Linked DNA regions of Canis lupus familiaris. The protein of the gene in region 1 interacts with the protein of each later gene in a biochemical or structural test. Links are inferred from orthologs where the notes say so. Each region holds a gene or a part of one and is shown in the gene's direction. Other genes may lie near its edges. The genes, in order: CEBPB, EP300, DDIT3, CEBPG, KAT2A, SMAD4 and RB1.

What was found.
Region 2: the proteins of CEBPB (region 1) and EP300 form a complex in vitro, tested with the Homo sapiens proteins (2 studies listed by BioGRID). The link is inferred for Canis lupus familiaris from reciprocal best matches to the Homo sapiens genes CEBPB and EP300.
Region 3: the proteins of CEBPB (region 1) and DDIT3 form a complex in vitro, tested with the Homo sapiens proteins (2 studies listed by BioGRID and IntAct, with this or other methods). The link is inferred for Canis lupus familiaris from reciprocal best matches to the Homo sapiens genes CEBPB and DDIT3.
Region 4: the proteins of CEBPB (region 1) and CEBPG form a complex in vitro, tested with the Homo sapiens proteins (2 studies listed by BioGRID and IntAct, with this or other methods). The link is inferred for Canis lupus familiaris from reciprocal best matches to the Homo sapiens genes CEBPB and CEBPG.
Region 5: the proteins of CEBPB (region 1) and KAT2A form a complex in vitro, tested with the Homo sapiens proteins (2 studies listed by BioGRID, with this or other methods). The link is inferred for Canis lupus familiaris from reciprocal best matches to the Homo sapiens genes CEBPB and KAT2A.
Region 6: the proteins of CEBPB (region 1) and SMAD4 form a complex in vitro, tested with the Homo sapiens proteins (2 studies listed by BioGRID and IntAct). The link is inferred for Canis lupus familiaris from reciprocal best matches to the Homo sapiens genes CEBPB and SMAD4.
Region 7: the proteins of CEBPB (region 1) and RB1 form a complex in vitro, tested with the Homo sapiens proteins (2 studies listed by BioGRID, with this or other methods). The link is inferred for Canis lupus familiaris from reciprocal best matches to the Homo sapiens genes CEBPB and RB1.

Annotation. Positions count from the first base shown.
Region 1 is NC_049245.1:37,284,672-37,288,250, forward strand, and holds CEBPB (CCAAT/enhancer-binding protein beta), read left to right. Parts: upstream 1-1,239; 5' UTR 1,240-1,337; coding exon 1,338-2,378; 3' UTR 2,379-3,079; downstream 3,080-3,579. UniProt on the Homo sapiens protein: Important transcription factor regulating the expression of genes involved in immune and inflammatory responses. Also plays a significant role in adipogenesis, as well as in the gluconeogenic pathway, liver regeneration, and hematopoiesis.
Region 2 is NC_049231.1:25,041,750-25,045,249, reverse strand, and holds part of EP300 (histone acetyltransferase p300), read left to right. Parts: intron 1-301; exon of another isoform or gene 302-403; intron 404-574; coding exon 575-725; intron 726-843; coding exon 844-990; intron 991-1,544; coding exon 1,545-1,658; intron 1,659-2,401; coding exon 2,402-2,567; intron 2,568-3,328; coding exon 3,329-3,493; intron 3,494-3,500. UniProt on the Homo sapiens protein: Functions as a histone acetyltransferase and regulates transcription via chromatin remodeling. Acetylates all four core histones in nucleosomes. Histone acetylation gives an epigenetic tag for transcriptional activation.
Region 3 is NC_049231.1:1,963,493-1,967,484, reverse strand, and holds the start of DDIT3 (DNA damage-inducible transcript 3 protein), read left to right. Parts: upstream 1-1,192; 5' UTR 1,193-1,294; intron 1,295-1,973; exon of another isoform or gene 1,974-2,056; intron 2,057-2,152; exon of another isoform or gene 2,153-2,302; intron 2,303-3,992. UniProt on the Homo sapiens protein: Multifunctional transcription factor in endoplasmic reticulum (ER) stress response. Plays an essential role in the response to a wide variety of cell stresses and induces cell cycle arrest and apoptosis in response to ER stress.
Region 4 is NC_049222.1:119,619,417-119,622,916, reverse strand, and holds the end of CEBPG (CCAAT/enhancer-binding protein gamma), read left to right. Parts: coding exon 1-319; 3' UTR 320-3,324; downstream 3,325-3,500. UniProt on the Homo sapiens protein: Transcription factor that binds to the promoter and the enhancer regions of target genes. Binds to the enhancer element PRE-I (positive regulatory element-I) of the IL-4 gene. Binds to the promoter and the enhancer of the immunoglobulin heavy chain.
Region 5 is NC_049230.1:20,651,115-20,655,401, forward strand, and holds the start of KAT2A (histone acetyltransferase KAT2A), read left to right. Parts: upstream 1-1,487; 5' UTR 1,488-2,197; coding exon 2,198-2,734; intron 2,735-2,873; coding exon 2,874-2,997; intron 2,998-3,333; coding exon 3,334-3,479; intron 3,480-3,590; coding exon 3,591-3,680; intron 3,681-3,962; coding exon 3,963-4,144; intron 4,145-4,265; coding exon 4,266-4,287. Other genes in the region: HSPB9 (heat shock protein beta-9), read right to left, coding at 821-1,282. UniProt on the Homo sapiens protein: Protein lysine acyltransferase that can act as a acetyltransferase, glutaryltransferase, succinyltransferase or malonyltransferase, depending on the context.
Region 6 is NC_049222.1:24,020,640-24,024,139, reverse strand, and holds part of SMAD4 (mothers against decapentaplegic homolog 4), read left to right. Parts: intron 1-111; coding exon 112-286; intron 287-730; coding exon 731-760; intron 761-3,500. UniProt on the Homo sapiens protein: In muscle physiology, plays a central role in the balance between atrophy and hypertrophy. When recruited by MSTN, promotes atrophy response via phosphorylated SMAD2/4.
Region 7 is NC_049243.1:3,171,427-3,175,528, reverse strand, and holds the start of RB1 (retinoblastoma-associated protein), read left to right. Parts: upstream 1-1,302; 5' UTR 1,303-1,401; coding exon 1,402-1,529; intron 1,530-2,357; exon of another isoform or gene 2,358-3,251; intron 3,252-3,700; exon of another isoform or gene 3,701-3,786; intron 3,787-3,971; coding exon 3,972-4,098; intron 4,099-4,102. UniProt on the Homo sapiens protein: Tumor suppressor that is a key regulator of the G1/S transition of the cell cycle. The hypophosphorylated form binds transcription regulators of the E2F family, preventing transcription of E2F-responsive genes.

The DNA of each region.
Region 1 (3,579 bases):
GCAAAAAGGTCTTAGGGTGCTCTGATAAGAGCTTTTAAGACTAGTGGGGGACATGAGGCCCTGTGACCTTGGGTGTCCTATGCCCCCCCCCCCCCGGGCTTCTTTGTACCCTGTGGGAGGGAGGTGGCTTCTTTCTGATGTGCCTCCCAGAGTGGACCTCAAACTTAAATTAAGCCTTCTGTTTGGGAGTCCGTGGTGGAGACAATGATACAACTAATAATAATAACCGTAACAGCACTTTCATGGAAGGAGCTTGGAGTGAAGTGACTCGCCCAAGGTCACGCAGCGTGGCCGCCGAGCACCCCCCACCCACCCCCTTCCACCTCCCTGGGCCCAGGTCAGGGTCGGGTGGGGCCAGAGAAGACCCAGGTGTGGTCTAAGGGGGCGGGCAGGGCCGGTGGGCGGGGCTGGGGGCGGCGCAGTCGCCGCGGCCGAGGTCCCGGTGGGGCTCTCCCCCGAAGTGCCCCCCACCGGGGTCCTTGCGTTAGACGTGCCTTTAGGAGGGGCGGGGGGCCTCCCCCAGCGTGGAATCCCCTCCTTCCGAGGGCTGGGGTTGGGAGCAAGTTTTGGGGCGGGGAGGGGCCGGCCGCGCGGGGGAAGGACGGTGCAGGTGGGTCACCTCTCGGGGGGCCGGGGCGGGGCCGGGGTCTCCGGGATCCGGCCTGGGGAGCGCCGGCCTCCTCCGTGGGGCGTCCGGGCGGGCTCGGCGGGTCCCGAAGCCTCCGCCGCCTCCAGCAGGGGGCGGGCGGCGGCCGTGCTTCGGGAGGGGGAAGGCGGTCGCGCTGCCCCCTCCCCGCGGCCCCCCCGGGGCGGCCTCCAGCCCGGAGGGGGCGGTCCGGGGGCGGGGTCGCGCCGCCCCTCCTCGCTCCCAATCCCCGCGCCGCCGGGTGGGGGTGGGCAGGGGGCGTCAGGCCGCCCCCCCGCGGGCCCGCGGACCCCCCGAGGGCGCGCCCCGGCTCTCGGGTCGGGCCGCCGGGCCCCGCCGGCGCCCTCGCGGGGGTCTCGGGCCGCCACCCCGCGTCCCGGCGGCGGCGGGAGGGGCCGGGGCGGCTGCCAGCGTGACGCAGCCGTTGCCATGGGTCGCCTTATAAATAACCGGGCTCGGGAGAAACTTTAGCGAGTCAGAGCCGCGCACGGGACCGGGAAGAGGACCCACGCGAGGGTCCAGCCGTCAGCCCCCGCACCGGCAGCGGCCCCCCGGCGGCAGCGGCCCCCCGGCGGCAGCAGCGGCGGCGGCGGCGGCGACCCAGCGGCCACGGTCGGAGCCGGGAGGCCGCGCCACCTGCGGGCCGGCCGGAGCGGGCAGCCCCAGGCCCCCTCCCCGGGCACCCGCGTTCATGCAACGCCTGGTGGCCTGGGACCCAGCATGTCTGCCCCTGCCGCCGCCGCCCGCCTTTAAATCCATGGAAGTGGCCAACTTCTACTACGAGGCGGACTGCTTGGCTGCTGCGTACGGCGGCAAGGCGGCCCCCGCGGCGCCCCCCGCGGCCAGACCCGGGCCGCGCCCCCCCGCCGGCGAGCTGGGCAGCATCGGCGACCACGAGCGCGCCATCGACTTCAGCCCGTACCTGGAGCCGCTGGGCGCGCCGCAGGCCCCGGCGCCGGCCACAGCCACGGACACCTTCGAGGCGGCCCCGCCCGCGCCCGCCCCCGCGCCCGCCTCCTCCGGGCAGCACCACGACTTCCTCTCCGACCTCTTCTCCGACGACTACGGAGGCAAGAACTGCAAGAAGGCGTCCGAGTACGGCTACGTGAGCCTGGGGCGCCTGGGGGCCGCCAAGGGCGCGCTGCACCCCGGCTGCTTCGCGCCCCTGCACCCGCCGCCCCCGCCGCCGCCGCCGCAGCCCGCCGAGCTCAAGGCGGAGCCGGGCTTCGAGCCCGCGGACTGCAAGCGGAAGGAGGAGGCCGGGGCGCCGGGCGGCGGCGCCGCAGGCATGGCGGCTGGCTTCCCGTACGCGCTGCGCGCCTACCTCGGCTACCAGGCGGTGCCGAGCGGCAGCAGCGGGAGCCTGTCCACGTCCTCGTCGTCCAGCCCGCCCGGCACGCCGAGCCCCGCCGACGCCAAGGCGCCCCCGGCCGCCTGCTACGCGGGGGCGGCGCCGGCGCCCTCGCAGGTCAAGAGCAAGGCCAAGAAGACGGTGGACAAGCACAGCGACGAGTACAAGATCCGGCGCGAGCGCAACAACATCGCGGTGCGCAAGAGCCGCGACAAGGCCAAGATGCGCAACCTGGAGACGCAGCACAAGGTCCTGGAGCTCACGGCCGAGAACGAGCGGCTGCAGAAGAAGGTGGAGCAGCTGTCGCGCGAGCTCAGCACCCTGCGGAACTTGTTCAAGCAGCTGCCCGAGCCCCTGCTCGCCTCCTCCGGCCACTGCTAGCGCGGCCCCCGCGCGCGGCCCCCCGCCGGCCGGCCGGCCGCCCGCTCGCTCCGCCCGCGCGCCCGCCCGCCCGCGCGCCCGCCCGCCTGCCCGCGCGCTGCCGGCCGCGCCGCGGGGACCCGCGCCCCCGCCCCCGCCCCCGCCCCCGCCCCCGGGGCGCCGGCGAAACTTTGGCACCGGGGCGCTTGGCGGCGCGGGGAGCTCGTCGGTAATTTTAATATTTTATTATATATATATATATATCTATATTTTTGTCCAAACCAACCGCACATGCAGACGGGGCGCCCGCCCGTGGTGTTATTTAAAGAAGACGTGTCTATGTGCACAGATGAGTGACAGGCTCGCTGCCTCCCCTGCCTCCTCTCCGGGCGCCGGCGGGCGGGCCGGTTCCGAAGTTGATGCAATCGGCTCGAACATGGCTGAACGCGAGTGTACACGGGACTGACGCAACCCACGTGTAACTGTCAGCCGGGCCCTGAGTAATCGCTTAAAGATGTTCCTACGGGCTTGTTGCTGTTGATGCGTTGTTGTTGTTGTTGTTGTTGATGTCGTTGATGTTGTTGTTTTTTGGTCCTTTTTTTTTTTTTGTATTATAAAAAAAATAATCTATTTCTATGAGAAAAGAGGCGTCTGTATATTTGGGGATCTTTTCCGTTTCAAGCATTAAGAACACTTTTAATAAACTTTTTTTTTTTTTTTTTTTTTTTGGAGAATGGTTAAAAGCCTTTTGGGGGCAGTAGTTGGCTTTCGATTTTTTTTTTTTTAATTTATTTTTTGGTTTAGATGATTTTAGATGTGCTTTCCTGGATGGGGGTGTGTGGGGGGGTAGGGGGGGGTGGGGTTGTTGTGTGTTGGGGGGTTTCTATTATTTTGGGGGTTTTTTGGTGGTTGGGTGGCGGTGTTAACAGCTGTGTCGTGTGTGTGTGTGTGCTTTTTTTTTTTTTTTTTTTTGGTCCTCCCTCCACTGCTGCTCCCTCCAGGGTCTGTGCTTGGAGGTGGGGGATGCCAGGTTTCTGGGGCTCTCAGGGTGACTCAGCGCCCCTGAGTGCTGGGGAGGAGTGACCCGGAACCCTGCTTGGGAAGAGGTCGGCTTGTCCCGAGTGCCAGGCTTGAGTTTAGAGGGAGGGACCTGTACGTCTGTGACCTCTGTAGGGTCCGGTGTTTGGGGGATCCGGCTAGCAGGCCACATTATGTAGGAAGA
Region 2 (3,500 bases), on another chromosome or scaffold:
AGCTCTCTCTCTGTCAAATAGGTAAAATAAAAATCTTAAAAAAAAGATTGTATCCTGTATACAGTCGAGATTATTGCATTATAATATTTGGTTTAATTTTGTGGATACCTTTGCAGTTTTTACTGACCTACAGATTGCTTTTTATTCCTATAAGGCTTCTCATAATATCCAACCATTGTTATTTTAAAATATCACTGCAATCAAGCCAAAGTGCATGTGGATGTTGTATTTTGTGACTTCTGAAATTAGAAGATTTTCCAAGTAAAAAGTTGGGTGGAAAACACCTAAAATTCACTACCATGTTTGCTTCAGCTGCGCATATACTAAAATTGGAATGATACAGAGATTTGTATAGCCCCTATGTAAGGATGGCACACAAATTCATGAAGTAGCTCCTATTTTTTAAAAAACGATGGTTTTCAAGTATTGATCACATTGCTAACTTTTAACAAAATCAGGTTATCCTATTTGGACGGAGAATACAAAAATGATATTTGATATTGAAGCTTAAGAGTTAACAATAATGAATTTGCACCTTGGCTAACTGCAGAACTTTTCACTTCTGCACTTCTAGGGTTGCCATCTACCAGGCTTGGCACCTTTCTGGAGAATCGTGTGAATGATTTTCTTAGACGTCAGAATCACCCTGAGTCGGGAGAAGTCACTGTTCGGGTAGTGCATGCTTCTGATAAAACTGTGGAAGTGAAACCAGGCATGAAAGCAAGGTATCCAATAATTTTCCCTTTTCTTCTCTTGTGGTTCTACAAGCACTTGACAGTTAATTGCTGATGATTCTGGTTTAACTGAGACCTCGTGTTTTTCTTTCCAATCTGGATTATGTAGGTTTGTAGATAGCGGAGAGATGGCAGAGTCTTTTCCTTACCGAACCAAAGCCCTCTTTGCCTTTGAAGAGATAGACGGTGTTGACTTGTGCTTCTTCGGCATGCACGTTCAGGAGTATGGCTCCGACTGCCCTCCACCCAACCAGAGGTAGGACTTGGCCCACTGCCTTCCAGTTGAGTGGGAGTTTGCAGTTCAATAGGCAAAAAGCATTGTGGGCAAGGAACTATTTGATGTACTTGCTTTGGAAATGGAAATGCAAACTGTGTTCATAGTAATAAGGAGGAGTATCAAACAGCCTGAAATGAGAAGTGGGAAGCAGACTGTTTTTCAGAAAATGGGCTTAATTCTTGATTGTGTTAGGTGCCTTGCCTGGGAGATAATGTGAAAGAATGTCACACAAGTAAAGTTAGGATATGGTTTAGAATTTGTTTCCAAAATAGTATAAAGGCCAGAATAAGAATGCTACCAGAATACACTTGGATCCATAAATACTAATACACTATGCTTCAAGCGCTGCTGGGTACTGAGGCTCACCAGACTCTCCTAAAGAGTGCACAGCCTAGTCATGTACTTAACTGTGACTGTGTGATGTGTATTATAAATGAGGTGAAAAAGAGCACAGAGGAGATTGTGTTTTTAGCCATATTAGTAAGAACTCCTTATGTGACTTGACATGGTTTCTTTCTCCCCACTTGATACAGGAGAGTTTACATATCCTACCTTGACAGTGTTCATTTCTTCCGTCCTAAATGCTTGAGGACTGCAGTCTATCATGAAATTCTAATTGGATATTTAGAATACGTCAAGAAATTAGGGTAAGCATATTGACAAATGCTATCTTTAAAAACAATGAGCTTAAACTAATTAAATTTTTAACTAATTACCACTGTGGTATTGTGGTGAAACTTAGATTAAAGCAGAGAGGTGACTTTGTTCCCTTTTCTCAGTGTTGCCAGTCGGACAGAAATGGATATGTTGACCCTAGTCATACTTATCCCAGATTAGTTTTCTTTTGTTCAGTTAAGGTGTTAGGTACAGTTTGATTGGAAGGTTGGTACTCATTCAGGGCCAGAACCTTGAACTGCAGTTGACCCTCTCATACCTAGGTATCAGAACCAAAATAGACTAGGGTCTGGAAATACTCAAATTAGCCTGATTCTTTACCTTCAGGGTATACGTGTGCTTGAGAACATTCACTACCGCACCTTGCAAGTTCTTCCTTTTATCACTTAGCTTTCTTCCATTCCTTGTTCCGTGTTGTTGGAATGGATCCATGTTCCTTTGCATTGTAGCTTTTCTTTTGTCTTCACATGCAAATTTGGGATTTGGGAATCCAGGGTTAGCCTCTAAGAAGAACTAGGCAATGTGACACCCATTGTAAGTGCTGTAGGTTAGGCCTGAATCTGGCCTAAGAATTTCGATCTGATTCTGGGTTGTACACTTGATATTGTCTTAGAAAAAAAATCATTGGTTTCCATATTGACTCCACGTTGTAGCATTCTTTCTGGAATAGATGATAAACTTTTCTCTTGAATATTCCCCCTCTTTGTGTTGTTAGATATACAACAGGACATATTTGGGCATGTCCCCCAAGTGAGGGAGACGACTATATCTTCCATTGCCATCCTCCTGACCAGAAGATACCCAAGCCCAAGCGACTACAGGAGTGGTACAAAAAGATGCTTGACAAGGCTGTGTCTGAGCGAATCGTCCATGACTACAAGGTCAGGAGGAATGGGGGGCGATGACTGATCCTGCAGCTCTGTATTCTGCTATTTGACTATCTTAACAAAAATCTTCTGTACTCCCTTTTTCAAACCAAGAAAAACTCAGTTTTAAATGTCTTAGATCAACAAATCTCTGTTTTAAAGATGTGATGAAAAACGTATTCTTAATAGCCATTCATGATTAGAGGGCATCTCATGATAAGAACTTGAACAGATAAGTTTCTTATCTGTTTTTACTCCTGGGGAGAAAAGTAAGAACTGGATGTTTTCCCAGGCAGCAGAGCAGAGCAGCCTGTGGCCATGCAGTTTCCAGTATTTGTGGTTTGGGTTGTTTTGAACATATTTCTCAGTCAGGGGATGGGTGATGGGAACAAGGCAGGCATTCCTCACATTGTATTGCATTGTGTCATCAGCAATAGTAAAGGCTGCGGCGTGATTGATGGGGCCTGAGCCATCAGTCCTCGCAGGAAGATGTCCCACTTGGCTTTATAAAGGCAGGTAACTTCCCTATCCTCACAGGCAGAGGAAAGACAGAACCAGAACCACTGACCTCAGACCTTGAGTTTTTACTGTTTAAGACTAAATGTCCCCCTGGGCCATGGGGCTTAGGTATAAATCTCTCTGCTGCCTTTCTTTCAGAAGACATTATAATCCTTCAGGTTTCTTGTGTCTGCTAGCTGTGACTGCTTCTGAATGATAAATGCTTCTTTAAAAAAAAAAAAAAACCAAATTCCTACTTGTACCTGGTATTTTCACAGGATATTTTTAAACAAGCTACTGAAGATCGATTAACAAGTGCAAAGGAGTTGCCTTACTTTGAGGGTGATTTCTGGCCCAACGTTCTGGAAGAGAGCATTAAGGAGCTAGAACAGGAGGAAGAAGAGCGAAAGCGAGAAGAAAACACCAGCAACGAGAGCACAGATGTGAGGG
Region 3 (3,992 bases), on another chromosome or scaffold:
TCGGCCGGCCCCGCCCTGCGCAGTCGCGGCCCAGAGGGTGAGTGGGAGGGAGTGGGAGGAGGGTCGGCGGAGCCCGAGCCTCCGGTACGGCCCCGGCCGGTCCTAGCAGGAAGCGCCGCCGCCGCCGCCGCGGATCACCGAGCGGCCTCCCGCGCATGCGCCATGGGGGCCAGGGGCAGCCCTGGGGATTCCGTTCCCAGAAGGCACCGCGCAGGCTGCCGCCGCCGCCGCCGCCGTCGCTGCCGCCGCCGCCGCCGCAGCCGCCGCCGCCGCCGCCGCCGCCGCTGCCCGGACGGGAGAGGGGCGGGGCCGGGCCCCCGCCCAGCGGACAACGACGAGCCAACAGGAGGGGCCGCAGTGCGCATGCGGGAGCGCGCCTACCCCTCCCCCACAACCCCCCATTAATCCCCAAGAGAACAAACACCCCACGCGGCCCCCCCGCCCTCCGCGGAAGGATCTGAGCCTCTTCCCAGGCCACCGGCGGCCAATCCCAGCCCTCCCCGGGGAGGGGCCCCTTCCAAAGCCACAGTCTGTCGGGGGAGCCAGGAATGCCGGGTCCGGGAGGGGCCGGCCCCAAAAGATGAAAGTCGCGACTTGCCCTGCCCCGCCCCAAAGGCTTCCCGGGTAGTGTGCTGGGACTTGACCCGCCTCCCCAGGTCAACATGTCACAACAGGACCTCCGCCTGTCAAGTCACATGACCTCTGCCTGTCACTGACAACCTGGTCATGTCTTTGGGCCAGGAGAGACCATCTGGTCCAACCCACCCCCACCCCCATCTACTGAAGGGGAAATGGAGGTCTGGAGCAACGGAGCAGGCCCGGCCGAGGACCTGTCACCGTCACACCACCACCTAAACCTCCTTGCAGCCACAACCGGCCTTGTGACAGATTCTACTTAACTCTGGCTGCCCCCGTGAGGGTATGACAGTGAATACAACCGGCCGCCACATGGCATCTTTTTTCTCTCTAATGGCACAAGAAAAACGTTTGCATTTTAAGCGATGCTTTTCACTTTTGTTTAAGCTGCCTCCAAGTTCATAGTGCTCTCGTTTTACCTTCACAACTCGTCATCCTTTATTTACAAACAAGAACGGTTGTGGCACAGATATTAGGGGGCAAGTAAAGGGGCAGGTGAGGCCAGACTCTGGGCTCCTGACAACCCGGTGCAAGGCGGCTGCGCGCTCAAGTGCACCCAACGTCCCAGGCAACGAGGCTCTAAGGTCGCCCGAGCACCGAGGCGGCAGGCGGCGGGTGCACGGCTCCTCACGCAGGAGTCACAGGACCTGCGCGGCTGGTACAGCGAAAAGGGCGGGTCTTGATCCTTGGTGGAGGCACCAGAGTACGGGGGGGGGGGGGGGGGAGGCTGAGAATCGCGTCCACCGGGCCAAGTCCTGAATCCTGGCATGCTGAGCGCTCATCAGAAACTTCACAAAGATAAAAGTTAGGGGTGCTTTTCGGCGAGGAGCTGAAAATGACCATCAAAAGTACTCAAGTTCCTCGGCCCCTTCTGGGGGAATTAGGGAGCTAAACGGGATCTTTCTATGCGCCTACTCGAGGAGACGTTAGGCGGTCCTGTGGCTGCATGCAAACTTTCAAAAGAGATTGGCTTAGAAGACCTCGCGCCCACTAACTAGGAGGGGACCGAGCAAAATGGGAGCCCCCCATGCAGACGGCGAGGCGGGGGCTAACGCCAGGTGGGCGGAATAAGGGCGCCGAGGAGGACGAGCCGCAGCGCGGCTTCGCAGGCAGCCTGAGGGCGGCCACGGTTGGGAGCCGTTGGGGCCGTTGGGAGCCCGGCGCTGGCGCCCCGCCCTCTCCTCTCCCCCACCCCCCCGCACCGCCCACCACCCTCGTCGGCCCCTGCGCGTGCGCGCCGAGACACCGGTTGCCAAACATTGCATCATCCCCGCCCCCCTCTCCTCCCCTCCTCCCCTCCCCCCCAGCTCTCCCCTCCGCGCGCGCGCATGACTCACTCGCCTCCTCCGCGGAGCCTCGTGACCCAAAGCCACTTCCGGGTCCGACACCACCTCTACCCCCGGGCCGGCGGGAGCGAAGGGGGCGGCGCCGCGGGGGCTGCTGAGTGGCGGGCGCGGGGGGCGGGGCGGGGCCAGCGCCGGCGTGCCGCGCCCTGATTGGCAGGCTTGCGGGCCCGCCCCCGAGGGGAGGGCAGGGCCTCCTTAAAACATCCGCGCTCGGGCCTCCGAGGTCAGAGGCTTGAGTGTAAGGCACAGAGCGGATCATGTTGAAGATGAGCGGGTGGCAGCCACAGAGCCACAGTCAGAGCCGGAACCTGAGGAGAGAGGCGAGTACCGATCCCACCTGCTCTTTACCCTCTAGTCCTCGGGGATGCTGGTTGTCCCTTCGAAGTTGGGGCATCAGCTGCTCAGGATGCGGCCCCACCCGTTCCCCGACGAAGTTAGTGACAGTTCGAGGGAGGGACGGGGAGCATCCTTTATCCGGGAGTGGTGCTTACAGACCTCTCTTCCCTCGGACGGGAGCGGCGCCCCACCCTGCCCGGAGCGCGGGCCCGGCTCTGGGCCGTCGGGCTAAGGGGTCCGGATGCCCTCGGGAGACTCCCTGTCTTCCGCTGCTGCCCTAGGCCGCCTCCTTGGTCCTGTCCGGTGGGAGGCGGGGCGGCAGGACACTCCCCCACGCCGAGACGCCTGGATGGCTCTGGCTCACGCCCTTGCCGCCACTTTCCCACCAGCGGCCCTGCCCCTACCCCACCCCCAATCCTGTCTCAGCCCAGCGTCTCAGGGCCAGAGTGGCCACGTCGGTGGATGGAGCTCCTGGGTCCTGCACAGGACAGCCATTCCACACCCTAACGGAGAAGAGAACCTTAAGGAGACAGACTCCAGACTTTGGGAGGAGGAGGGATGCCAATGGCTAGGGAGCAGAGATGGGTTTTCCCATTCCCCCAGAGGTCCCGGGGGCCTCCTGCACAAGAGAGCATTCTGGATCCCTTAAGTGTGGGAAGCCATTTGGGGTCTCCCCAGTGTAGGGTCCTTCCGCAGGGATTTGTCCCTGCTGCTTTCCCCGCGTCCTGCCTCCCAGCTAATTTCTGTGTAACCGTTGCATCAGGCCAGCCCCCTGTTTGGCTCTGCAGCCCTCTGGCCTGGGGCCCCACTGCTGATGAAAGCGGCATCCCACACGCTGGAAGGCAAGGAGGGTCCCCCAGGGAGGACAGCCCTGAAGAGAAACACTCTGGGAGATATTGCATCTCCAGTCCCCAGGGCTGGGCAGCTGCTGCTCTGCCTCTGGGCTTCCTCCTCCCTTCCCTATGAGACACTGGGGAGAATTCTTTCATTCTTCACAAATTACTTATTACACACCTGCTATGTGCCACACATTTTAGGCCCAGGATGCATCTACGAACAAGGAAAAGACCTGTTCTCACAGAGCTTACATTTCGTGGGAAAAGGTGCACAGCGAACAAATATAGAAGTGCCAAGGAGAAAACCAAAGCATGGAAGGGTAGTGAATGCCCAGGATGTTTACCTTGAGTCATTAGAGATTCTCTCACAGAGGTGACATTTAAATGAAACTTCTGAAAAGAGGCAAAGTAGTAAGCTGTGCAGATTTGTGAAAGGAAGAGCTTTCCAGGAGAAAGAACAGTGAGAACAGAGGTCCTAAGGTGGGAGTGTGCAGAGTTTAGGGAGCAGGCCAGCTGGACGGACTAGAGGGAGAGTGGTCAATGAGAAATCCAGGGCAGGGAAGGAGATTGTGTGGGGCCTTCTAAGCCATATTAAGGACCTTTAGCCTTTAATATTCATGAACTTTAGTCCTTGAAGAGTTTTGAACAGACTGACAGGACCTGACTAGAGTTTTAAAAGGCTCACTCCAGGGATCCCTGGGTGGCGCAGTGGTTTGGCGCCTGCCTTTGGCCCAGGGCGCGATCCTGGAGACCTGGGATCGAATCCCACATAGGGCTCCCGGTTCATGGAGCCTGCTTCTCCCTCTGCCTGTGTCTCTGCCTCTCTCTCTCTCTCTCT
Region 4 (3,500 bases), on another chromosome or scaffold:
CGTGCCCCCAAGCAAGCAGAGCAAAAAGAGTTCGCCCATGGATCGCAACAGTGATGAGTATCGTCAGCGCAGAGAGAGGAACAACATGGCTGTGAAAAAGAGCCGCTTGAAAAGCAAGCAGAAAGCACAGGATACGCTGCAGAGAGTGAATCAGCTCAAAGAAGAGAATGAACGGTTGGAGGCAAAAATTAAATTGCTGACTAAGGAGTTAAGCGTACTGAAAGATTTGTTTCTTGAGCATGCACACAACCTTGCAGACAACGTGCAACCCACTAGCACTGAAAATACAACAGCAACTTCTGATAGTGTGGGACAGTAGACCTCACTCACCCCTTCCCGACTTCACGACTTGTGGCTTGAACGCTAAAGGTGTGACTACCTGCACCGCTCGCATCAGTGGCCGAACATTGTCTTGTTCATCATTCAGAGATCCACTGAAGGTTGTTTTCTAGGATCAGCACTGAAGAGTTGATTAGCTAAAAATGTTAGCCATGTAATTTGGATATCTAGTTTTAAATGATACGATTTTTTTTGTGGGGATAAAGCAAATTTTTAAGGTATATGGTAAAAAGAAAACCAAAAAACCAAGAGCCCTAGACCTTGATGTTCTTAATAAACCCTCACTTCCCAAGAAATGCTTCTTTTTTAGGTTGATAAAAGGAATGGGGAACTAGCAGGTCCTGCAGGAGGGTCTTGGTTTTATTGGAGATGATTAATTAGGCTAAGAAAAGTTGAATGCCATCTATGTTAATGTATTTGTGATTTTTTTTCTAAATTATGTATTAAAAATCCTTAGGGCTCTAGAAATCAATCACTTTGTAATTTGGAGTGATTTTATGTATGACGTGAACCTTGTTTTAGCCTAATTTGTTTTCCCCCAACAAGTGTAGTTTTTGAGTAGCAGTGCCAGGTTAAGTAAATTCCATTGTGTTTTAAGGCAGTATATATCCAGTTGGCTTAAAAATACAAATAATTAGGAGGCAAATAGGTTTCCTAAAAATAAAGGTAAAGCATATTAGAATTATGCTTTCAGGATACCTTTGGGTTATTAGATTCGCATTATTTTGTTTTATAACAACAAAAAACCCCCAAGAGTTTAGAGATAAACTTGTGTACCAAAATTTTTGTTTCCAGTAAGTGAATATTTTTAAAATACCATTTTGACAGCTAAGTTAGTAGACAGATGCCTTAACAGTTTAGTAATTGGGATTTAGGTAGTTTCTCCTGTGTCTAAATATCTGCAATGGGGCCATGATTTTTAAAGGCAAAAATTTCTTTGAAGGATCATTTGGCGTTTGATCTTAACCAAGTGATTATTAGAACAATATATCATCGACTGTATGCCGTCTCCCAAGATAATAGTCTAAGAAAACTTGAAAGCGTAAGGTCTAACCTTTAATTTATTTCATTTAAATACATCTTTTTATATTGTTCTTGTGACGCTTCTTTTTCTAGTTAGTGGGCTCTTCTAGACTTTTTGTACCACTGCTTCTGTTTGTTCATTTGTATGCTTTTGTGTCCCATAAATTATTTTAGAAAGAAAATACTGATAAAACTCAGGATAATGACATTTTTGTTGAGACTAAAAAAATGGCAATCACAAGTCGGGGATCGCTAGGGTCTGGTTCATAGCAGTGTTGGTGGTTTTGATTGTTCTTGTAGATTTCTTTTTTTCTTTTTTTTTTTTAAAGCACAATTCTAGCTCAGATTTGTTGGCATTTGTGTGTGTGTGTGTGTGTGTGTGTGTGTGTGGCTGGGCTGGTGACAAGAGGCTGAGTCCCATCTGAGTAAAAAAGTGTGTGTTACCAGGTATCTAATTTGAACATGGCCACTTATTTTTTGACCATATGGTTTCATACTAGGGCCTGGAACAGTGTAACCAGGATGTAACCCGAGTTGCACGTTGGGCTGGTGCAAGAGTGCTGTCTGTACCCCTGGGGCAGGCGAAAATACCACCGTGACCTGCAACTCAGCAAAGCCATTATTGCGGCCATGAGCCTCTGCCGCATGTGACTGGAACCCAGTGTTGTTCCGTGAGAGCTACTGTCCCAGGAGGGGTGACTCCCTGGAGTGCCAGGAGGCAGGATGGAGGTTTCTGTTAGGGTCCAACACCAGTTTACTTCGGCTGGAGTATCAGTCTACTTCTGGGTTGACAGATATTTTGACTAGGAGGTAACCCACAGAATCCTACTGAATCTTTAATAGCTGATTGATGTTATATAATTAACCTAATTAGAGGTGCAGTTAGGTCCCCCGAATTTTTAGGCTCCACATTGTAGTCCCTTGTTCACTAAAAAAATGTCTTTCAGAAATTGTCCCTATGGAATTTATGGTCACCAGTTAGGTGAACTGACTTAACTGTCTTGGAAAAGCAGCTTCAGGGAAATCGTCAGGGGTGTGCACTTGAGATTTCAAATCAGAACATTGAATTGAAACTTCTGGAACAAATGGTTCACGCTTTCCGGTTACCGTGCACATCAGAACTTGAGCACAAGCGGTCACGTGTGCATCGGACAGAAGGGTTAACCGTCGTCTTGATTCTCACTGAAGTGTCTGGGAATGAAAGTTTTCAGTTTGATAGATGTAGGAGTATCACTGAGGGAAACCAGGTGTGGGGGATGGGAAGTCTAGAGCTTTGGGATTTATAAAATGGCTTTTGTAAGTCCTGTAGGTCACACATATGACCCATTAGGCTTTGATCTGCCTTTGCCGGCAGGTCCAGTGGTTTAGGAATTAGGCTTTTAGGGTCAATGTCTGGCTGCATCTGAGTCCGCGATGGAGGCGGGTGCTTTCCGGCTGGTGTTGGCAGCAGGTGGTGAGGTGGGAGCGGCTCCTCTGCTGTCTGGCCCCTTTCGGTGGCTGGAATGGGAGCTCAGAGACTTTGGACAGTCTTACTAAGTAGTAGTAAGATCCTAATAAAATATGACCGGATTTTTGAAATTTAGGGCCACAAGTGTGACACTCTGCAGTTCACGATGAAAAGTAGTATGTGCAGTTTAATATTTGGTATTAAATCAGCCTCCGAGGTTTCTCAGTCCCCATGACAGGGCCTGACACTTTGTACCTGAACAACCCAGTTAGCACTCAGCGTGCTTTTTTCGATGCCTTAGAGATAGGAAGCAACTTTTCTGTTTGACAAAAGCTCGGGAGGGGAAAGTCCATTCTATAGCTGTTAGACCTCCTCTCAGGAAAAAGTCCTCAACTTGTTCCTTTTTTTTTTTTTTGTTCCTGGCTTTCCTCGGTTTGTGAGATTACTCTATTTTTTTAAATATAATTTTATTTCTTTCAATGAATTTGAAATAAAAAAAACTTTGGAATAATGACTATCTCACTGTGGGTTTCTTCGTGTTGGCATCCCCTGCAAGCAGTCCAGGGGTCCCGTAGCTCGGAAAGGCGGGCGGTGCTCGGCCGTCTCCTGGCCCCGGCCCGGGGCAGGGCGGCAAGAGGTGCGTTTGAGCCTAGATTTCCCCGTACGTTCAGGGACATCATCTCTGAGGAGA
Region 5 (4,287 bases), on another chromosome or scaffold:
CCTTGTCTTTCTCTGGCAGAGTTTATCAGACCATATCCGCTCTAGCTTACTTGAAGTTAATTTAAAATGAACCACTGCATCTTGTTGAACAATGGCTTCCCTCCCTCCCCCAAAGTGAGGGGTGCTAGTGGTTATGGTAACCAAGAGAAAGAGGCCCTTACTGGTACCAGCTGTAAGGGGGTGGTGGTGGTGAGAGTGACCTAGAGCTGAATCTCCCCAAGTTTGAAATTGAGGGCTTGTATTAGCCTTGCCCCCACCCCCCTCCAGATTATATTGGGGTGATGTGCAGTTTGTATTTGAAAATAGTTGGTCTCTGAAACAACAGAAACCACCTCTTGGGGTTTTTTGGTTAGTCTGTACCTTGTGAAGGACTGGGTCTTCTCATCCTCTTCCCAGGTGATCTCTGGAACCTTTGCCTGGTCTTCAGACCAAGAGACCACCCCACATCAAGTCCAGTCTTTGTATCTATCTGATCTCTGGTCTGCCGGGGCCCTCTGCTGGTTGTGGAGCCTGGTGCCCCCGCTGCCATCCTGGCCCTCTGCTGCTCCCTGCTGGAGCTGCTGCTGTCATTTGCCCAGCACAGGGCTGTTGGTCTACTGAGCCCCGGACCCAGCTCCTCCCGGGGCCACAGAGGCCTGATTCTTGTTGGACCACCACCGTAAAGTGCTTTTCCTGCCTCCCTAAGCCCTCCACTGGCCCTCTCTCTACCTCCATTATGCCTCCACCTTTGATCCCAACCCCAAGAAAAGACCACAGAACACCAAGGCTGCTGCTGCACACTAGAATTGTTGTTTACTGGGTCAGGGTAGGTTGACCTTTCTTAGAGCCATGGCCTCGGAGTCTCGGGGATGGGCCTTTTTGGGCTTCCTGGGAAGGCAGCGCCCTGGCACTGGCCTCCGACGCACAGCTGGCCGGAGGGGGTCATGCTGCAGGTCACGGCAGTGGGATCCAGGTCCGGTGGTAGTTGGATCTGCCGATGCACCCTCTGCGCCACACGGTAGCCAGCCCCATCTGGGCTGCAGCCCTCCAGTTGCCTCTGGCCGGTCACCATCAGACATTGGCCGTCCACTTGCACCACCAGCTCCTCCGGGGCAAAGCCACAGGCATCCACCTTCATCTGGAAGCCATTCTCTGCATGGAAGTTGTTCTGCGCAGTCACCACATCGTCCCTCAGGAGCCGTACGGGCAGTGTGGCCACCTGGTTCTGTTGGGCAAGGGCCACGCTGGGACAGCGGGATGCCACCTGGCTCCCGCTGGGGAGACCGCTACCAACCCGCTGCATCCGACTGAGCAACTGCTGTCCGAGGGCGAGGGCGCGAGGCCCTGGGCGTGGCTCTGGGCGCTCGGTGGCGGCGGCGGCGTGGGGGGGGGGGGGGGCGGGGGTGCGGCTGCGCGCCCTGGGGAGAGGCCCTGGGGCGGCCTGGCTCCTCCGCTCCTCCGCGGCCGCCTGCTACGCCAGTCCGGTCTCCGCAGGCCTGGTGGTCACCGCCCTGGCGCGCCACTGCTGCTCTCATCCTGGCTCCCGGGGCGGTGACCCACCAGCGCAGACCAGCCGACCCTGTAGCGCTCACCAGCGCAGGGCGGAGGCGAGATGGAGCCGGGCTCTTGCCCTTCCCAGAATCAGGCCTGAGGACAAGAAGGGCTGTCCCCTGAACCGAGCCCGGGGGTGTGACCGTGAGGGTCTTCCATCCTGACCGCGCACGGTCTTGTGACACGGGGCTTAGGAGGTGACCGCGACTTCCTGGTTTCCTTCATTCGTCAGACTCTGGGTCTACTGTGGCCGCCTGAGGGCTGGGCTCTGGGACAGAAGGAAGACGCGAACCCTGCCTTCAGGCGCTCACGGCTTTTATGATAATCCTTTATTGCTGAAATATAACATAATAGAAGAAGCGCACCAGAGAGTACCACTGAATTATCCCCCAGAGAGCACCCCCATGTAGCCACCTCCACGGGGCAAGAAATGGAAGTGTTGCTTCTTAATCTCCGCTGTGGCTGCACTTCCGTGTCCGCAGACGTGTGGGACAGGGACAGGGGGTGGAGGGGCGGAAGCCAACACGACCCCGGGCAGCATCTGTGATTCCCCTCAACAGGAGCCTGTTTTCTCAGATGCTCCTCCAAGTCCCCAAGAAAACGGCAATCCTCGCTATCCCATAAGACTTCAAAGAGATTAGAAGTGAGGAGGAGACAATCTAGGGTAATGGCTCAGGCTTCACTTGCTTGTCTGGGGCCAAGAGGCAGGACAGAAAAGTCTGGAAGCCAGAAACGGAGGGAGCGGTCGTGGAAGACTACAACTCCCATCATGCTCCGGCGCAGCGACGCCTGCGCACCGAGCGCCGGTTGCCCATGCGGCCCTAGGGCTAGGAGCGCCGCGCCGCGCTCCGCTGCGGGGGAGGCCATGGCGGAACCTTCCCAGGCCTCGACCCCGGCTCCGGCCACGCAGCCCCGTCCCCTTCAGTCTCCAGCCCCTGCCCCACCTCCGACTCCTGCCCCCAGCCCGGCTTCAGCCCCGACTCCGGCTCCCACTCCGGCACCAGCCCCCGCGCCAGTTGCAGCCCCAGCCGGCAGCACAGGGACTGGGGGTCCCGGGGTAGGAAGTGGGGGGACCGGGAGCGGAGGGGATCCGGCTCGACCTGGCCTGAGCCAGCAGCAGCGCGCCAGCCAGAGGAAGGCGCAAGTCCGGGGGCTGCCGCGCGCCAAGAAGCTTGAGAAGCTAGGGGTCTTCTCGGCTTGCAAGGTGGGGGCGGGGCCTGGGGTGAGAAGGGGCGGGGCTTGGGGCATCCCAGGGCTCCGGTGGGAATGGGGGCAAATCTGTGGCTGGGGATCGGCTCCCCGTGCCCGGTTACAGGGCTATTGACCGAGTTTTCTAACGCCAGGCCAATGAAACCTGCAAGTGTAATGGCTGGAAAAACCCCAAGCCCCCCACTGCACCCCGCATGGACCTGCAGCAGCCAGCTGCCAACCTGAGCGAGCTGTGCCGCAGCTGTGAGCACCCCTTGGGTAAGGCAGGTAGTGCCCTTGGAGCTGGGGCGGGGGCAGGTCCTGGGGCCTGCTTGGACAGGATAATTTAAGTGCCACTGAGTTTTATCTTTGGAACCAAAAATGCCTCCGAAGGAGGGATTGGGTTGGGAACATGTATCCCTCCCAAGGGAAGAGAAAGGAAATTTGCCAGCCCGGAATAGACAGGGTCCACCCAAGGCTGACATAGTAGCAGTCAGTCTCACTACTGGTCATGCTGTTTGGAGCTACCAAGGTTGTAAATTGGTGATGAAGAGTGAGAGAGAGCTCTCGTCATCTATCCTTTCTTTCCAATCCTACCACCTTTCCTTCTTGCAGCTGACCACGTGTCCCACCTGGAGAATGTGTCAGAAGATGAGATTAACCGGCTGCTGGGTATGGTGGTAGACGTGGAGAACCTGTTCATGTCTGTTCACAAAGAGGAGGACACGGACACTAAGCAGGTCTATTTCTACCTCTTCAAGGTGAGCTTCATCCAAGTGAGTGTGAATGAGCAAAGGAGGTGGGGCTGGACTGGGGAGTTTGCAGCTCTGAGCTCCACTGACCTCTACTCCTCCCTCTTCCTCTTCCTCCAGCTCCTGCGGAAATGCATCCTGCAGATGACCCGGCCAGTGGTGGAGGGCTCCCTGGGCAGTCCCCCATTTGAGAAGCCTAATATTGAGCAGGTGGGATGAGGAAGGTAGTAAGAGAATTGGGGGCATCTTGGAGGAGTGAGGAGCCTGTGTTCCCCATCTTCCTCAAGCTGAGAACAAGGGACAGGTTCAGAGAAGGGAGGATGTTCAAGATGGGCATGGGGCTGGGAAGGGGGCACAATTTTTCTTCACAGAGAGCCCGAGTGAGAGGGGAGCTTTAGCCTGCCCTCAGGAAGCACCAGATTTTGTATAAGAAACCCCTGCTGGCCGCTCACGTCTCCTTCCTGGTCTTGTTCCCTACCCACCCCTTCTCAGGGTGTGCTGAACTTTGTGCAGTATAAGTTTAGTCACCTGGCTCCTCGGGAGCGGCAGACGATGTTTGAACTCTCAAAGATGTTCCTGCTCTGCCTTAACTACTGGAAGCTTGAGACTCCTGCCCAATTTCGGCAGCGGTCTCAGGCTGAGGATGTGGCTACTTACAAGGTCAATTATACCAGGTAGGGCTGGCCAAGGCCAGCGGGGGGTGGGGGAGGGGGTAGGGGTGGGGGTGCTTGTGCTCGTAAGCCCAACCTGGGTTTAGTGTCTCCATTCTCCATCCTACCTCCCCTCTGCCCGCAGATGGCTCTGCTACTGCCACGTA
Region 6 (3,500 bases), on another chromosome or scaffold:
GTCTCTGCCTCTCTCTCTCTCTCTCTCTCTCTGTCTCTCTGTGTGTGTGTCTCATGAATAAATAAATAAAATCTTTTAAAAAATCTATAAGTGATCATTTATATTTCTTAGGTGGCTGGTCGGAAAGGATTTCCTCATGTGATCTATGCTCGTCTCTGGAGGTGGCCTGATCTTCATAAAAATGAACTCAAACATGTTAAATATTGTCAGTATGCATTTGACTTAAAATGTGATAGTGTCTGTGTGAATCCATATCACTATGAACGAGTTGTATCACCTGGAATTGGTAAGTAGACTTTGCTTTTATCTTCAGATGCATGAAGGGAAAAGTTCTTGATACTGTTTTAATTTTTCTATGCCAAATTATAAATTTGGATAGAGCCAGGACTTCAGCTAAGGTTAAGAATCAGATATTTTTAATGAAATATAAATATTTAAATTTAAACTTTAGAATAGACTTGTATTTTGACTGCTAAAACTAAGTATACACTATAGTTCATGTTCTGCTCATCTAGAATATTGGTTTTGAAAAATAAGGTGGAAGGCATTATAGAATTGAATAGTTTATGTATCGTCAGATAGCATTTACACTACTACTCTTGAGTTGAAATGGTTTGTGAAGTGTTGAATCTCTGGGTTAAATTTATACTTTGTAATTTTAAATACAGTGGAAAATATTTTCATGGTAATGATTAATGTTTCATTTTCTTTTCCCTTTTAAAAAATTAAGATCTCTCAGGATTAACACTGCAGAGTAATGGTAGGTAATCTGTTTCTTGTAACTTTCTCTGTCTTCTTTATCCTGTTCCCTCTATTTTTTATTGACCTAAAATTAGTTTGTATGGATGCTGGTAATATTTACAAGAAAAATACTTACTGCTTTGGAAATCCAGTTCTTTGGGAGCACACATCAGTATTTAAAACTGAATTTAAATAGCCTGGTGGTTTGTTGAACTACCATTTATGCACTGGAGTGACCTAAAAAATATGATAGGGGAATATAAAACATATGAAGAAAGAATATTTTTTGAATTGATAAAAACTGATCATTTTGGAAGAAAATCTTACAGAGCCAATTTAAATGAATATAAATACCTATAATGTTTGGTAATTTGGAGTCATATATAGCATGTCCTTTAAGAAATACTAATATTCTAATTTTTCTTTGTTTTTCCCTATTTTTTATGAATGATAATTTTAAGCATGATTTAAAACTACATATGTTAATATTTTTTTCTTGTTACATTTTTGAGTAAATGAAACAAGGCTACTTTAACTTTCATAGATTATCTAATTCTCTTTTAAAAGAGCATGTTTTGAGGTAGGGAAATGAAATCAATGAGGGGTGGTGTTTTTTAGTGTAATATTTGAGAACAGAGATCTGTTGAAACTTTAGTTTTATTACTTAGAATATGAACTAAAATTTTTGTAAGCAGTTAATTTGAAGAGAAACTCTGATAAAGAACCACCATTATCTTAGAAAGATGTGCAGTTGTTCTGGAGGAACAGTGGGTTGGTACTTGTTGCAGAATCTTAGAGGTGGGTCAGAAATACATCTAACCTTAAACAAAATTTTGGAAGAGCTTGAAAGTCTACTTGTTTTTATAGTTCACCTTTCTTCCATGTCGCTATAATAGAGGAAGACTCCAGTCCCTTTTGGTACTTGTTACTGGTTAGTAGGTTTCTGAAAACATGGATTGGTAATGTGGTAGTGGTCTGGAAGGGTAGCTCTAAGATTGGTTTAAGTCTTGCCTCTTTACTACAATTTACATTAATATTAGTCTTCTTTTTTCTTTGAAAGTAAATACCCTTCAGATCTTCACCATTCTCCACCCATGCTTTTGGAGAATTAAAGTATTTAGCTCAGCAGGGGTTAAGGATTGGGGGACTCTAGTGATATCTATATCAGAATCTCCTTAGTGGGAGTGGTTGTGAGGAGATCCAGTTTTGAAGACTCATTACACTCCCCCCTTATCCTAACATGTTGCTGTTATGAGTAGCTATCTTTGGTCATCTTTGGTCAGATTGTGTGTGGGGGTGATAGGCTCTTTTTAGTAGCTCTAAGGGTTGTTTTAGCCTTGCACATCCCCCTAGTGGTGGTTTGTAAAGGCCAGTTTCAGTGGCTTATTTCCTTAAAAAACAACAGGTGTTTTCCACATCCCCATCTAGATTTGGACAGAGTAATAATATAAAGCCAGGTAAAGAAAAAGTTAAGAAAATGGGATAACTCCTTCACTTTTGAGTTGGAATCTTAGGGTAATCATTTCCAGCCTATTTCATATCTTCTGTGAAGCTTTCCATGACCACATCAGTCTGCATATTCATTTTAAGAGATGTTTAGTGAGCATGTATTGCTTGGTACTGTGTTAGGATCTAGGGACGATAGGATAAGTAAGGTGTGTTTTCTCCACACTAGGTAGCTAATAGTTTAGTGGAGGAAAGACAAAGTAAATAAGACAGCAATAGCATCAGACGAGTGCTGTGCTCTGCCTGCTGGTGGGGATAAGAACACTGACTTGGGGTGAGTCCAGTGGCTTCAGCTTTTCTGTCCCTTATACATTTCTTACCCCTCATAAAATATTTTACAGTTATATGTATGACTGCTGTAAAAGTATGGTTAAAGCATAACAGCTGATACTTGATAAGTACAGACTTTTTGTCCAGAACTGAGCTGTACGAGTTACAAGTATTGCTTCATTGTTCTCGTTATACTCCCACATGGAAGGTGGCATTATCTACGCTTGATGAGATGAAGATCATGATAGACAGGAGGAGCTGGAGTAATGTGTCCTCGATATTAGATATTTAAACAATAAAAAAATATTGGAAAAAAATATTGTAGTATAAGTTCCATGAAAGAAATTTTTCTTTTCTTTATTCATGTGTCCCAGGTACTAGAACAGTACTCAATAAATATTTATTCAGTGAATAAATTTGTTGAATGCTAGTCCATAAAGAGAAATAGCTAATAGTTTGGTGTCTGTTATTCTGGACTTAAAAAATATATACTATATGTTTTTTTAATTTTATTTTTTTGAATAGGCAATACATGGTCCATAAATCAAAATACTATAAAAAGGTATACAGTGAAAAGAAGTGCTCCCACCCCTGCCCCCATTCCCCCCTACCTCAGGTAATCACTTTTATTAGTTTCTGGTGTTTCCTTCCAGGGTTTCTTTATGCAAAAAAAACATGTATTATTTCCCTCTTTTTCTTACATTAAAAGCATATTGTGCACTTGTTCTGGACCTTGCTTTTTTAATTACAGAATGTGATTTTTTAAACATGCATGTGATCATAGTGTACAATGGTGTTTTGTAACCAACTTTTTTTCTCTTGGCAAAAATATTCTGCAGATATCTATCCTTGATACCTATAGTTTTACCTAAGGGACATGTTTTAAGTTATTTGATTGAAGACACTTGCAGTCGGTAGAACTCTCAGACTTACATTGGGGAAGGTTTATTCAGTGTATTAGGCGAGAGAAGGTTATGAGGCGT
Region 7 (4,102 bases), on another chromosome or scaffold:
TCACTGGTTGAGGCCCAGCACGCGCCGGGCACACAGTGGGCGCTCGTCCCGCGTGGGCCGGGCCGGGCCGGGCGGGCCGGGCGGGCTTGCATTCATTCAGCTGCCGCTTTTTCTCTGAAAATGCCCCTTACAGTTTGCCGGCCCCTCCCGGTTCTGTGCGCGCGCGCGCGGTTTTTAAAACTTCGTTTACGGGGCAGCCCGGGCGGGGGTGGGGGGTGGCTCACCAGCGCGTGACCCCGGGGTCCCGGGTTCGAGTCCCGCGTCGGGTCCCCGCGTGGAGCCTGCTTCTCCCTCTGCCTGGGTCTCTGCGTCTCTCTCTCTCTGTGTCTCTCATGAATAAATAAATAAAATATTAAATACAATCCTGACTTAAAAAAAGATGAAAGTTCATTTACTCCCGAGGGACACCCGGAGAGGGCGATGCTCGGACGCGGGACGGCGGGCGGCGCCTGCGGGGGGCACCGGGGGCCGCGGCGGGCGGGCGCTCAGGTCCTCACCGGCTCTGCCCCCGGCCCCGTCTGCGCGCGCAGGTCCCGGAGGGCGGCCGTGCTTCGCCCCGCGCGTCCCGCCGTCTCCCGGCGTCGCCAGCGTTCGCGGCCCGGGGGGCTCCGCAGACGGTTGTTTTTGTTTTGGCGGATCCGGCGGGGCGGATTGGGCGGGAGCGGGAGCGGGGGCGGGGCGGGGAGGGGCGAGGGGGCGGGGCGGGGAGCGGAGGGCGGTCGGGGACGGGGGGACGGGGAGACGGGGAGAAGGGGAGAGGGGGTCGCAGCGCGGAGGGGGCGGGGACGCGGGGGAGGCTCGGCGGGGGCGAGCCGGAGGTCGCGGGGCGGTGGGAGGGCGCGGACGCGGGTCGCGGGGGGGCGGCGCGGAGGGGGCGGGGAGGGGCGGGGAGGGGAGGGGGCGCGGCGGGGCGGGGCGGAGGCGGCGGGAGGGCGCGGCGCGCGGCGGGGTGTCGCGGGGCGGGGGGGCGCGGCGGGGCGTGCCCCCGGGGTGCGCTCGCTAGATACGGCGCCGCCGCCGCCCGCCGCCGGAGCGGGGCCCAGGGCGGCGGGGGTCGGGCCCGCGCCGGGAGAGGCGAGCGCGTCCCGGGGGCCGCGGGGGTGCAGGCCCCGCCCGCCGCGCGCCCGCCGCCGCCCCGCGCCCCCGGAGCGCCCCGTCCGTCCCGCCGCCGGCGGCCCCGGAGCTCGCGGACGTGACGCCGCGGGCGGAAGTGACGTTTTCGCGCGGCTGGCCCGGCGCTCGGTGGGCGGCGGGAGGAGGGCTCGTGGGCTCCGCCGGGCGCCGCTCCCCGGGTCTGCGCGCAGCGGGGCGGCCCCGAGGTGCGCCCCCCGCCCCGCCCCGCCCCGCCCCGCCGCGCCGCGCCGCGCCGCGCCCCGCCCCGCCGCCGGCCCGCGGACAGCCATGCCGCCCAAAGCCCCCCGGAGGGCCGCCGCCGCCGCCGCCGAAGCCCCGCCGCCGCCGCCGCCGCCGCCGCCGCCCGAGGAGGACCCGGCGCAGGACAGCGGCCCCGACGACCCGCCTCTGCCCGGGTGAGCCCAGAGCGGCGGGGGCGGGCGCGGGCGCGGGCGGGGGCCGGGGCGGGCGCGGTGTCGGCGGGGGCCGGGCGCCGGCTTGACAGGTGTCGGGCGGGGGGGGGTCGGGCGCCCGCGCCCGGTGACAGGTGCCGCCGCCGCGCCCGCGGACACGGAGCCGGCGGCCGACGCGGCGGGGGACGGGCGGCCTCCCGCGGACACGGCGGCGGCGACGCGGCTCCAGGCCTCGGCACCGGGCAAGCCCCGCGACGCGCCCCGCTGGAGCGCCGCTGCCTGCCTCCGCTCCCTCTCCGTGGTCCCCCTGCACAGCCTCGGTATCCGTCTTCGGCGCTTTGCAGCGCTTCTTCCATTTTGCCTTCCAGCCCGGACACATCCTCGCGCCTGCTCTTGTTTTGTTTCGCTTGGGCTGCAGAGTTCGTGAGCTGCCCGTGCTCACAGCACACTTCTCCCCCCCCCCCCCCCCCCCAGCACCAGCACCGCCACCAGCACCAGCACCAGCACCACCAGCACCAGCACCAGCACCACCCGCACCACCACCAGCGCCACCACCAGCACCAGCACCACCAAGTGGTCTCTAAATTTAGGCGACTACTGTGATAATACAGTAGAACGTGACAGGGAGGACTTATTCTGTTGCAGCATCCTATTTTTCACGATCGTGGTACTTTATGGTTAAGAACCTAAGACTGAAAGACTATGATTGCCATTATTTTTGCCAGTCCTGGTTCCACCACTCTGAGAGTACCTGTTTTTTGTTTTGTTTTGTTTTGTTTTGTTTGAGAATGGGATTGCTTTCTTTTCCTCACCGCTTCCTCACCTGTTCTAGTCCATTACTAAGCCCTATTCTTTGAACTTGCTAGACACTAACAGGGTTCAGATAGATTGTGAACGATTGGAATGGGCTTCTGGGATGGCCTGTGAAAAGCTGTTAAAAATACATATGTTGAAATGGGTTGTCTTACAGGTCAGTTAAAAATCACACTCGCTAATTGGGGGGAAAAACAGTCAAGCTGTTCTGAAAGCAAATTTAATTTCTGATTAAGCTCTGTTGTGTCCAGTACTTGAACGTTTTCATTTGGAAAAAGCAGTAAATCTACTCTATAAAGAGTTCCATGTTTACCACGGAGCTTTGGAAGCGTCCTCTGGATTATTGTAGGGTAACCAGAAATATTCAAATTAGGGCCCCCACCTGGGAAAAGAAGGCCTTTCTTCCCCACCCCAACATTGCATTATTTACTTTTAAATGATGGAACTATAAAAAATTTTCCTGTAAGTAAAACCATACAGGATACACTCCACTCTTGATTAACCATACCCCCCGAAAGGTTTTGCTAGTACGGGCAGTTGAACTGTGTAGACTAGCTGCTTAGCAAGGGTGAAACTAGTGCCTGGCAATCCAAAGCCAAGCGTCCTGCTTAGGGATGGATTCAGGGCCCGCTCCACCTGCATTTTCAGTGATGGAATCTGTCTGTACCTTGAAGCTGAGATCTTCTCTCTGTTGCATTATATCTGGCCTAAGTGGGAATGTTGGAAGGGAAACCTTCACTAGGAGCAAGAGTGCACCCTCCTTGTTGACATGATCAAAGTTAATTACGCTCTGAAGGAGGTTTACCAGTCTGGCATAGTGGTCAAGGGCATGGATCATGGAGTTAGACTTGGGTTTCCCACTTACTGGCCATGTCCTCAAGTGAGTCCTTTAACTTCTTATTTGGTACTTGTCTGTAAAACAAGGATAAGAGTACTTATCTAGTAGGCCCATGTGTGGATTCCACTGAAACTATACATTTAAGATACTTTATTCACACAGGCTCAGAGTAAATACTCAAAAATTATTAGCTATTCCTTATATTATTATTAGGTGTCAAATAGACATTAAGAGAATGAAAGGGAGCTAGCCAACAAGAAACTATTGACTACCTATCTTGGGTAAGGAAGATCGAAGAGAAAAGGCTGAAATAAGAATAGCAGGAATTCATGTTAAGTTTCTTATTACGTGAGAAATGCTTATAGGTAGAGAGATTATATGAGACGTTGATAAGCGTAGACTGCATTTTAGCAAAATTGCTGATACTAAATTGATTCTGCAATATCATAAATGGGCTTTCTTCTTTTTGCTCTTATTGTCATCCCGCTTTTCCCATACAGCGTTAGCTATCATACTTACTTACTTTTCCAAAGCTATTTTGCTGTTCTGGTGTGTATGTGATTCAGGCCAACAAACATCTTTCACTGTGTTGTATATTTGTTGGAAGGACTATGAAAAAAATAAACATTTAAATTCTGTAATTTTTTTTCAAAGATAAATAAGATTTTAAAGTACTTAGTAATGCCTTTTTTCAGAATAATGATGTTTGTTATATGCAAACCATTGAAGCAAATGTTTACTTTTAGTTTGATTTCTAAATATATCCCCATTATATGTCTGTTTTTATCTGGTAGGCTTGTGTTTGAAGAAACCGAAGAACCCGATTTTACTGCATTATGTCAGAAATTAAAGATACCAGATCATGTCAGAGAAAGAGCTTGGTTAACTTGGGAGAAAGTTTCATCTGTGGATGGAGTATTGGTAA